Linked DNA regions of Caenorhabditis elegans. The protein of the gene in region 1 purifies or fractionates together with the protein of each later gene. This does not show direct contact. Each region holds a gene or a part of one and is shown in the gene's direction. Other genes may lie near its edges. The genes, in order: sucg-1 and acdh-12.

Region 1 (4,322 bases):
CTCGTACATCCCGAGGAATAGCAACTACAACATTTGCACCGACATCGTCAGATTTACCTATTGCTGGATCGTCATCTGCACCAGTCATCGCATCGTCCGCTGATCCAATCCTGCCGACATCAGTTGTTCCTCAGCCATCCAACGAGCCATCTCCAGGTACTGTAGCCCCATCAGATGAACCGTCTCCATCTGGACCACCATCACCAGGACCTGTAAATCCATCCGAAGATCCTCAACCATCTGGCCCACCATCTCCGGGACCAGTGGACCCATCCGAAGATCCTCAACCATCTGTAGAGCCATCCGAAGATCATCAACCATCTGGCCCACCATCTCCGGGACCAGTGGACCCATCCGAAGATCCTCAACCATCTGTAGAGCCATCCGAAGATCCTCAACCATCTGGTCCACCATCTCCAGGACCAGTCGATCCATCCGAAGATCCTCAACCTTCTGGATCATCATCTCCAGGACCAGTGGATCCATCAGATGAACCGTCTCCATCTGGGCCACCATCTCCGGGACCAGTAGATCCATCAGAAGATCCTAAACCTTCTGAACCACCATCTCCAGGGCCAGTAGATCCATCAGATGAGCCATCTCCATCTGACCCACCAGGACCGCCAGGACCGCCAGGGCCTCCCACCAGACGCCCTCCAGGACCTCCAGGACCCCCAACAAGGCGCCCGCCAGGTCCACCTGGACCCCCAACAAGACGCCCGCCAGGGCCACCAGGGCCACCACATCACCATGATCATGGACATCATGGACACCATGGGCATCATTTCGATCAAGAGCAATTGTAATTGTACTTAAATGATCTTATGTAAATTGTGTAAAAACTATTGTAAATAAAAAACGATTGCAAAATAAAGTTGATTTTAAAACGCTTTAATTGGAGCGAACAAGACATGAAAAATTTTGCAAAAAAGCAAGTAAAAAAATAATAACAAAGACTAATTTTCAATATGGCAAGATTCACCGAGATCTGTTTTGTTTTCAAGTATCTTGAATAATTTACAATTTTTGTTAAAAACAAACGTCGAAAAAATCGGAAGGAAAGAAGGAAAGAAATAATTGTTTTCTTCTTCAATTGCTCGAATCAAACGGGACATAAAAAATCTGGGCAAGTGTCGTAAAGTTTGGGGAGCAGAAATGAATGAGATTGTTCGTCCAAAATCAATGTTTAAGTCTCTTTGTCTTACACGCTATATCGTCAGAGACAGCAATTGCCATCATGTTCCGACTTGAAAAATGTAAAAAAAAAAGAAACATTTGGTTGGGATAAGAAAATAAAATGGCGCGACAAACAATTATTGTGATTACTGTAAAACTATATCTATGCGAGTACGTGTCACAAAATGCCATTCGACTTAAATGTCCGGAGAATTTATTTTATTTAGATTTCAACTATCAAGATGTTCAAATGAAGCTGTTAAAAAGCCAAACAAAATGTTGTAATTAGATTTTTGAAAAACGGCATGTAACTCGAATGCGGCTGACAAATATAGACAACGAAAAAAAAATCTCAAAATTTCTTATTTTTATGTATATAGGCGTTTAGAACATGGTTCTTTCTATCCATTTATCTATTTTTAATGTTTAATAATCTTCATTATTAACGATTTTAGCCACAGTCTTCGTTTTCATCCAATTTTCCATCGCCCCGCCCCCTGTGGAGACGCAGAGACATTTTCTCGCGCGCTCTATTGCGAAACATTTTCCTCCCAATACATATATATCGATATATATTAATTCGCTCTTTACTCTGGCAAAAAATAAAATTTCCTAAGTAAAGTGAAACTCCTGCTTATTTTTGATAATTATATAATCCTTCGAGCTCCCAACGATACTCCGAAATAACGGCCGCGTGTTGTTTAGTGTAGTCTTTGTGGATTTTTTCCTTCCCATTCTTTCTCTAGAATTTTAAATGGTCGAGATTTTTCTGGATTTTTTTTGTTGAAAACTCCTGGTATTTGATTTGCTCAAAATTTTAAATTGTTATCTGCTTCCTTTAACAGCTCATAATTTTTGAACCTTGTTTGTTTGTCGAAAAAACCTCTCACTTGGATTTTTAAGATTAATAATGCTTCGTGCTGCTGGTAACCTATCCAAGTCAATGATGAAATCACAGCGTAGATTTCTGAATCTACAGGAGTTTCAAAGCAAAGAAATTCTTGAAAAACATGGATGCAGCGTTCAGAATTTCGTCGTTGCATCGAACAGGAAGGAAGCAGAAGAGAAATGGATGTCATTTGGTTAGTTTTTAGAAATTCATGAAAAATAAAAGCGATTAAATTTCAGGAGATCATGAGTACGTTGTGAAGGCACAAATTCTTGCTGGAGGTCGAGGCAAAGGCAAATTCATCAATGGAACAAAGGGAATCGGAGGTGTATTCATTACTAAAGAGTAAGCTTTTTTGAAAAAGTAGTAAAACTAAAAATTTGAATAAATTATATATATTTTCGAACGATTTCTTTTTAAATCCGACGAATTTTATATTTAATTTTTCAGAAAAGATGCGGCCCTCGAAGCGATCGACGAAATGATTGGAAAGAGGCTTGTCACAAAACAAACTACATCGGAAGGTGTTCGTGTCGACAAAGTAATGATTGCCGAGGGAGTCGATATTAAAAGAGAAACCTATCTTGCTGTTCTTATGGATCGTGAGTCAAATGGTCCAGTGGTGGTTGCATCTCCAGACGGTGGAATGGATATTGAAGCCGTTGCTGAAAAGACTCCAGAACGAATTTTCAAGGTGTGTCTCACAAATTATTTGTATTTCTCAAATAACCGAATTTTCCAGACACCAATTGACATTCAAATGGGAATGACTGAAGGACAGTCGCTTAAAATCGCCAAAGATCTTCAGTTTGAGGGAAAACTCATCGGAGTCGCAGCACAAGAAATTAAACGCCTTTATGATCTGTTCATTGCTGTAGATGCTACCCAAGTGGAAATCAATCCTCTTGTTGAAACTGCAGATGGACGTGTTTTCTGTGTCGATGCCAAAATGAACTTTGACGACAGTGCGGCTTATCGACAAAAAGAAATCTTTGCTTATGAAACCTTCGAGGAACATGTAAGAAAATTCAAGTGCACTTTTTTCCATTATTAGTTTTCAGGATCCACGTGAAGTCGATGCTCACCAATTCAACCTAAATTACATTGGAATGGATGGAAATATTGCTTGTCTTGGTAAGATTTATTTCTCAAATTCTATTTCTTCCTTCATTTTTGAAAATTGAATCAATTTTTAGTGAATGGAGCCGGTCTCGCAATGGCAACCATGGATCTCATCAAACTTCACGGAGGTGAACCAGCAAACTTCCTCGACGTCGGTGGAGCAGTCACAGAGGATGCTGTTTTCAACGCAGTCCGAATTATTACTTCTGATCCACGTGTAAAATGTGTTCTTATCAACATTTTCGGAGGAATTGTCAACTGTGCCACCATTGCAAATGGTGTTGTTAGTGCAGTGAACAAAATTGGATTAAATGTGCCGATGGTTGTTCGTTTGGAAGGAACTAACGTTGATGCCGCTAAACAAATCATGAAGAAGTCTGGACTCAAAATTCTTACAGCCAACAATTTGGATGAAGCCGCCGCTAAAGCTGTTTCCTCTCTTCCGAAATAATCGAAACATCTCATTTTAAGTTTATAATTTTACTTTCTAGGATTTTCCCTTAATCATTTCATTTTTCTCTTGTATTCTCGGGTATTTACTCTTGTTTTAGGATTTTTCCGTAGAGCTTGTTGTTTCTTTACCGTTGTGTTTTCCTGTTTTATTTTAGAATTTAGAATTTAAATTAAAAAAAAAATCATTTATAGAAGTCACACATTTTTGGCAAGGAATGGTTGATTACTGATATATTTTGCCCAACAATATGGATCGCAAATATTAAGAAGAAGAATAGATATCTTATCATTACTTCCACTGATCCTTCGTACACTGGCCACAAAATACCGTCTATCATAAAGAAGCTTCTTCCATGTTGCACGGAATTCTCGACGAGCTAGACGGCCTTTTGGTCTATCGTATAGGATATTGAACTGAAATTAATTATGCACACGATAATCAAACTTGAATTTTTACCTGACATGATACCAGATTTGCCTCATCGAATGCAGATTTGGTGAACAGAGCTTTAATATGTTGACTTCCATCGTAAAATATATTAACTGAATCGTAACGTAGTTTATGCACTTGTACAACTGTGAAGTATGTCAAATCAACTGCATTCGAATCTCGAGCATCTGAAGAATCTTGTATATTCATACGTGAACAAGTAATATGCTTACAATGATCAACTCCCCATCC
Region 2 (4,945 bases), on another chromosome or scaffold:
CGGATCCTTTGTCAAGAATATCAACGACTCTAGCTTCAGATTTCAATTTTCCTTCTGCTGAAAGTGGTTGATAGACTTCAATATATTGTTCTCCGTGAAGAACTCTAAAATGATTAAACATGTGTTTTCAAGAAATCTTATAAGAAAAACCTCTGAAGATCAAATTCAACTCCTGGCCAATCCATCAAAGTGTGAGCTTGAAATCCTGGAGCAACAATGTACGATGGAAGCACTTTAAAGTCTTCATGGTTCTCATAAACGTAGCACAAATCTTCTTTCGCTCGAGCACCAACTAAATGAAATTATTAATCACTATTCAAAAGGTCTTAGAAAAAATTACCTCCAAGAGCATAAATAATAGCATCTCTGGTAGAATATGAGAACTCGCATGGCTCTGCCACATGTGCGCAAGCAGTTTTCTTATCCATTTTTAAGTATTTGTCGGAGAAGAAACAAAAACCAAATAATGAAATAGAAAATGCCAATACCTAACAAGGAATCGGTACAGTGTAGTCTTGACCCCATGTGTTGATAAGACTACGCTGCAGACTACATAACGAGGGTGAAATCAATAGTTTTTTTTTAAAAATAAGCACTAAAAGAATTATTACCACATACTGATAATTATTAGATGTTTTAAATAATTTGCAAAAAAAGTATACAAGGCTTTAAATTTCAATTAAAAAATATATAAAAACTAGACTTTTGTCGGGAGAGATGTACAACGTGTTCATAGTATACTATAGTATTTGGGTTTCAACTTATAGAAAATGATCGAATAAATTTCCTTCGTTTTGAATTTTGAAGCGAAGCACGCACAAAAATTAATAGACCAGTTTCAGATTTCTCTTAATTCAGAAACATTCATCAAATACCTATGACGCCTTGTCGTCTGTTCAATAAAATTAACATGGAAGGTCGATTTATTTTTTCCGATATTTAAACAACCAAGGATTGTTTGTCGACTGTTAAATAGCTAAATTACAGTATCCATTCTACGAACCATTTCTCTTTCTTTAATTAAAAAAATAAAGCTTATTTTTTCGCGTAAAAGCCTTCCGAAAAATTCACACGTTTTCAAACTTGTGCATTCGCTAAATTAGTTTATATTTTCACTCGTTCACTTTCGTACATTGAAAGAATTCCAAATTCCATACGGTTCGTTTCTATAATGTACAGATTTATTCAGATGTAAAAAACATTAAAACATGAGCCGTCAAATATAGTGCCGACGGTGTGAACACACCACCGTAACACCGTGACGACAGATTGCGGATTCATTTTTCTTTCAGAGTACGATGCAGAAAACTTCTGTAATTGTCGTTTTTTTTCTATTTTAATTTATTTTGTGGCCGTTAAAGATAAAATATAAGACAACAAGTGTTCATACGAATTTTTCAGTACCATGAGGTGACCCGTAGAGCTATAAAATCATGTTTTTCTTGAAAATTTCATCGAACCTGCGCTAAAGTGTATTTTATCACATTGTCTTTTCACTAGTGCGTAGCCAGGGCCGTTCAAAGTACATAGGGCAAAGTCTACAAGAGATAACAATGACCGTCCTCCACGTTTCCTCTCCATCGTTTGTGTATGTTGGCGATTAATCAGTTTATTATGGAAAATTTACGAAAAATACTGAGCAAACCATGTTTCCAGTTATTTTTAGTTAACTTTTAAACTTCTTATTTTATGAAACACTCTTTTATGTAATCCAAAAAAAGCAAAAAACCTATTCGTTCTTTTTTGCGTTCATATAAAATGCTAAATACTTTTCTATAAAACTTATTCTGAATTCTATTTATTTTGATTGCTCTTGGACGTTCAGTGTAAAAAAGTATTGTTATGTCTGTGTTCTATGTTCTCTCACATGCTGCGTCTCTGCTCTATCCACCGTTCGACCCCCAAGTTGTTTTCTTCACTCTTTATCTCCGTCATCGCTATTTACCCCCTACTGATTCACTGATTGAAACCTATATTATTGGTTTTTTCTTCCAGAGAAACGATGCTGTCAACGCTGAGTAAATCTGCACGGCTCAACCAAACACGATTCATTCGTCTTTCGCATTCTGCTGCTGCTGCAAAAGATGCAAAACCGAAGAAGGTCGCTGCAGTGGACAGTCCATCATTTGTCATGAATCTTTTCAGAGGGAAAGCTGTGACTGACCAGGTATTTGAGAATTTTAGCAGGACCTGTTCAAACTGCCAATTTCCAGGTGTTTCCGTATCCTCTGAATATGACTGACGAACAGAAAGAAACTCTTGGAATGGTGATGTCTCCACTGGAAAAGATGCTTGTCGAAGTTAATGACGTCGTAAAGTGAATAATAAATCTTAAATTTACATGATCAATTTATTTATTTTCAGAAATGACGAGACTTCTGACATTCCAAGAGCAGTTTTGGACCAATTCGCTGAGCTAGGAACATTTGGTGTACTCGTTCCACCAGAGCTTGAAGGTTCCGGATTCAACAATTCTCAGATGGCCAGAGTCGCTGAAATTGTTGGAGCTTACGATCTTGGATTTGGTGTTGTCATGGGTGCTCATCAGTCGATTGGCTACAAAGGAATCCTTCTCGAGGGTACGGATGCTCAGAAACAAAAATATCTTCCCGATTTGGCAACTGGACGCAAATTTGCTGCTTTCGCTCTTACCGAGCCAACTACCGGATCTGATGCTAGTGTAAGCTAGAATATTATTAATTTCTCATAAACTTTAAATTTATTCAGTCAGTTAGAACGAGAGCTGAATTGTCTGCTGATGGTAAGCACTACGTTTTGAATGGTGGAAAAATCTGGATTTCGAACGGAGGATTCGCCGATGTTTTCACTGTGTTTGCTCAGGTAATTTATTTTCATTTTTTGGAAAAACTTTCACAATTGATTATTCAGACTCCTGTCAAGCAGGCCGATGGCTCAACAAAGGACAAGATGTCTGCATTCATTGTCGAAAGAGCGTTTGGTGGAGTCACCAGTGGACCACAAGAGAAGAAAATGGGAATCAAGGGATCGAACACAACTGAAGTTCACTTTGATAATTTAAAAATCCCGGTTGAAAATCTTCTTGGAAAAGAAGGAGAAGGCTTCAAGGTGGCGATGAACATTCTTAATAACGGAAGATTCGGAATTCCAGCTGCCTGTACTGGAGCTATGAAACATTGTATCCAGAAGACTGTCGATCACATCACCACTCGTGTTCAGTTTGGAAAGAAACTTCAAGAATTTGGAAATATCCAAGAAAAGCTGGTAGAAATGATCTCGAAACTGTATGCAACAGAGTCAATTGTCTATATGCTTTCATCAAACATGGATCGTGGAATTAAGGAGTATCAACTTGAAGCAGCTATCGGCAAGGTTCTAGCTTCAGAAAATGCTTGGCTTGTATGCGACGATGCTATTCAAGTTCACGGAGGAATGGGATTCATGCGCGAGACTGGTCTTGAAAGAGTTCTCCGAGATCTTCGTATCTTCAGAATCTTTGAAGGAGCCAATGATGTTCTCCGCCTCTTCATTGCTCTTACTGGAGCACAACATGCTGGAAAGCATCTTGCCGAGCAAGCTTCTGGAGTCGGGGGCCTTATTGGGTTGGCTGTTTCAAGAGTTACCGGGTTTGTGAAATCACATTTTTAGAATTATTAAACTGTATTTTTCAGAGGAAACACTGGCTCCAACTTTGGGCAAGTCGTCGACGCAAGTCTTCAAGATTCAGCTAAAGTATTGGATCAGCAAATTGCTTTGTTTGGACAAACAGTTCAAGGATTACTCATGAAGCATAAAAAGGGAATAATTGGTAATAAAATACCTTTGAACTGCTTTTAATTTTAATTTTTGTAGATCGTCAATATGAGATGCACCGTGTTGCCGACGCTGCCATCAACATTTACAGCTCTGCCGCTGTTCTTTCTCGTGCCACCTATGCCATCAAGAACAAATCTTCAAGTGCTGATTTTGAACGCAAAGTTGCTACTTACTACGTTGATAAGGTAATTTTTGATAACTGCCAAATTTTAAGTTTTAATTTCGATATTTACTCTTTCAGGCGATGAAATCATCAAACAGATTCCTGAAGGATGCCGGAAGTGGTGTTGAGAATGCTTCGAAGGTAGCAACAATTGAATCATTGGCGAAGGAAGTCTGTGGAAATGGAGGACTCACTCTTCAACATCCAGTTGAATTGTAAATTGTAAACTAGACTTGTTTTTTTTTATCGTAAGAAGCTCTTTTAGCCAGTCTGTATGTATCTAGAATTGAATTGCCTTCTTTTTTGAATTTTCGGGTGCGAATATTTTATTTCTTGTGCTATAAAAAACGGAAAATAAATTTTATCAATTGAAATTTTATACACGAAATTAAATGAAAATAAGCGGATCGAGAATCTGATCTTCTCCATGGTTCTTCTCGTAAACTAGTCCGTCAGCAGAGTATTTCTCATTAAATACTCCTATTTGATCAAACCCAAACCATCCGGAGAATGGGTTCGATGGTTTTGAAATTTTTGGAAGATAACCTTTTGATTCACCGTATTTTTGAAGTTTTTGTGAGTACGTGCTATGCCAGTATCTGAAGACAATGAAACATTTTAAATATTTTTTATATTTAATTACCGTTCAAATACAGCTTTTATTTGTCTATTGATATCTCCATAATGTGGTTCTTCGTCTACAATAATTGCAGTTCCAGTTGATTTGTAAAAGTATTCAGGTCCATAATTCGATGAACCAATGAAGGTTCTTGATTCGGAAATCATGAATTTTGCATGCATCTTACGATCTTTATAAGCTTCTTGAGCGGTTTGTGGAATTAAAATGAACTTCTGAAATATTTATATTTAATAAATGTTCAAATTGCGAAGGAGATTTCGAATATTACTTAAACGCGAAATTTCGCCCCACGAATACGGTACCCGGTCTCGACACGACAATTTTTGGTTGATTGCAAACGGATGTGC

Evidence for each region.
Region 2: the proteins of sucg-1 (region 1) and acdh-12 fractionate together in Caenorhabditis elegans (co-fractionation; one large-scale study listed by BioGRID). This does not show direct contact.

Annotation. Positions count from the first base shown.
Region 1 is NC_003282.8:7,726,834-7,731,155, forward strand, and holds sucg-1 (Succinate--CoA ligase [GDP-forming] subunit beta, mitochondrial), read left to right. Parts: upstream 1-2,079; 5' UTR 2,080-2,086; coding exon 2,087-2,258; intron 2,259-2,304; coding exon 2,305-2,410; intron 2,411-2,515; coding exon 2,516-2,759; intron 2,760-2,807; coding exon 2,808-3,083; intron 3,084-3,126; coding exon 3,127-3,199; intron 3,200-3,261; coding exon 3,262-3,638; 3' UTR 3,639-3,817; downstream 3,818-4,322. Other genes in the region: C50F7.5 (Basic proline-rich protein), read left to right, coding at 1-806; C50F7.9 (Poly-N-acetyllactosamine extension enzyme), read right to left, coding at 3,836-4,054, 4,098-4,258, 4,304-4,322. UniProt on the Caenorhabditis elegans protein: GTP-specific succinyl-CoA synthetase functions in the citric acid cycle (TCA), coupling the hydrolysis of succinyl-CoA to the synthesis of GTP and thus represents the only step of substrate-level phosphorylation in the TCA.
Region 2 is NC_003280.10:7,191,821-7,196,765, reverse strand, and holds acdh-12 (Very long-chain specific acyl-CoA dehydrogenase, mitochondrial), read left to right. Parts: upstream 1-1,995; 5' UTR 1,996-2,002; coding exon 2,003-2,167; intron 2,168-2,213; coding exon 2,214-2,317; intron 2,318-2,364; coding exon 2,365-2,680; intron 2,681-2,727; coding exon 2,728-2,841; intron 2,842-2,889; coding exon 2,890-3,605; intron 3,606-3,650; coding exon 3,651-3,787; intron 3,788-3,831; coding exon 3,832-3,980; intron 3,981-4,036; coding exon 4,037-4,177; 3' UTR 4,178-4,332; downstream 4,333-4,945. Other genes in the region: maoc-1 (MaoC-like domain-containing protein), read right to left, coding at 1-104, 151-292, 341-428; E04F6.4 (PLD phosphodiesterase domain-containing protein), read right to left, coding at 4,347-4,557, 4,602-4,810.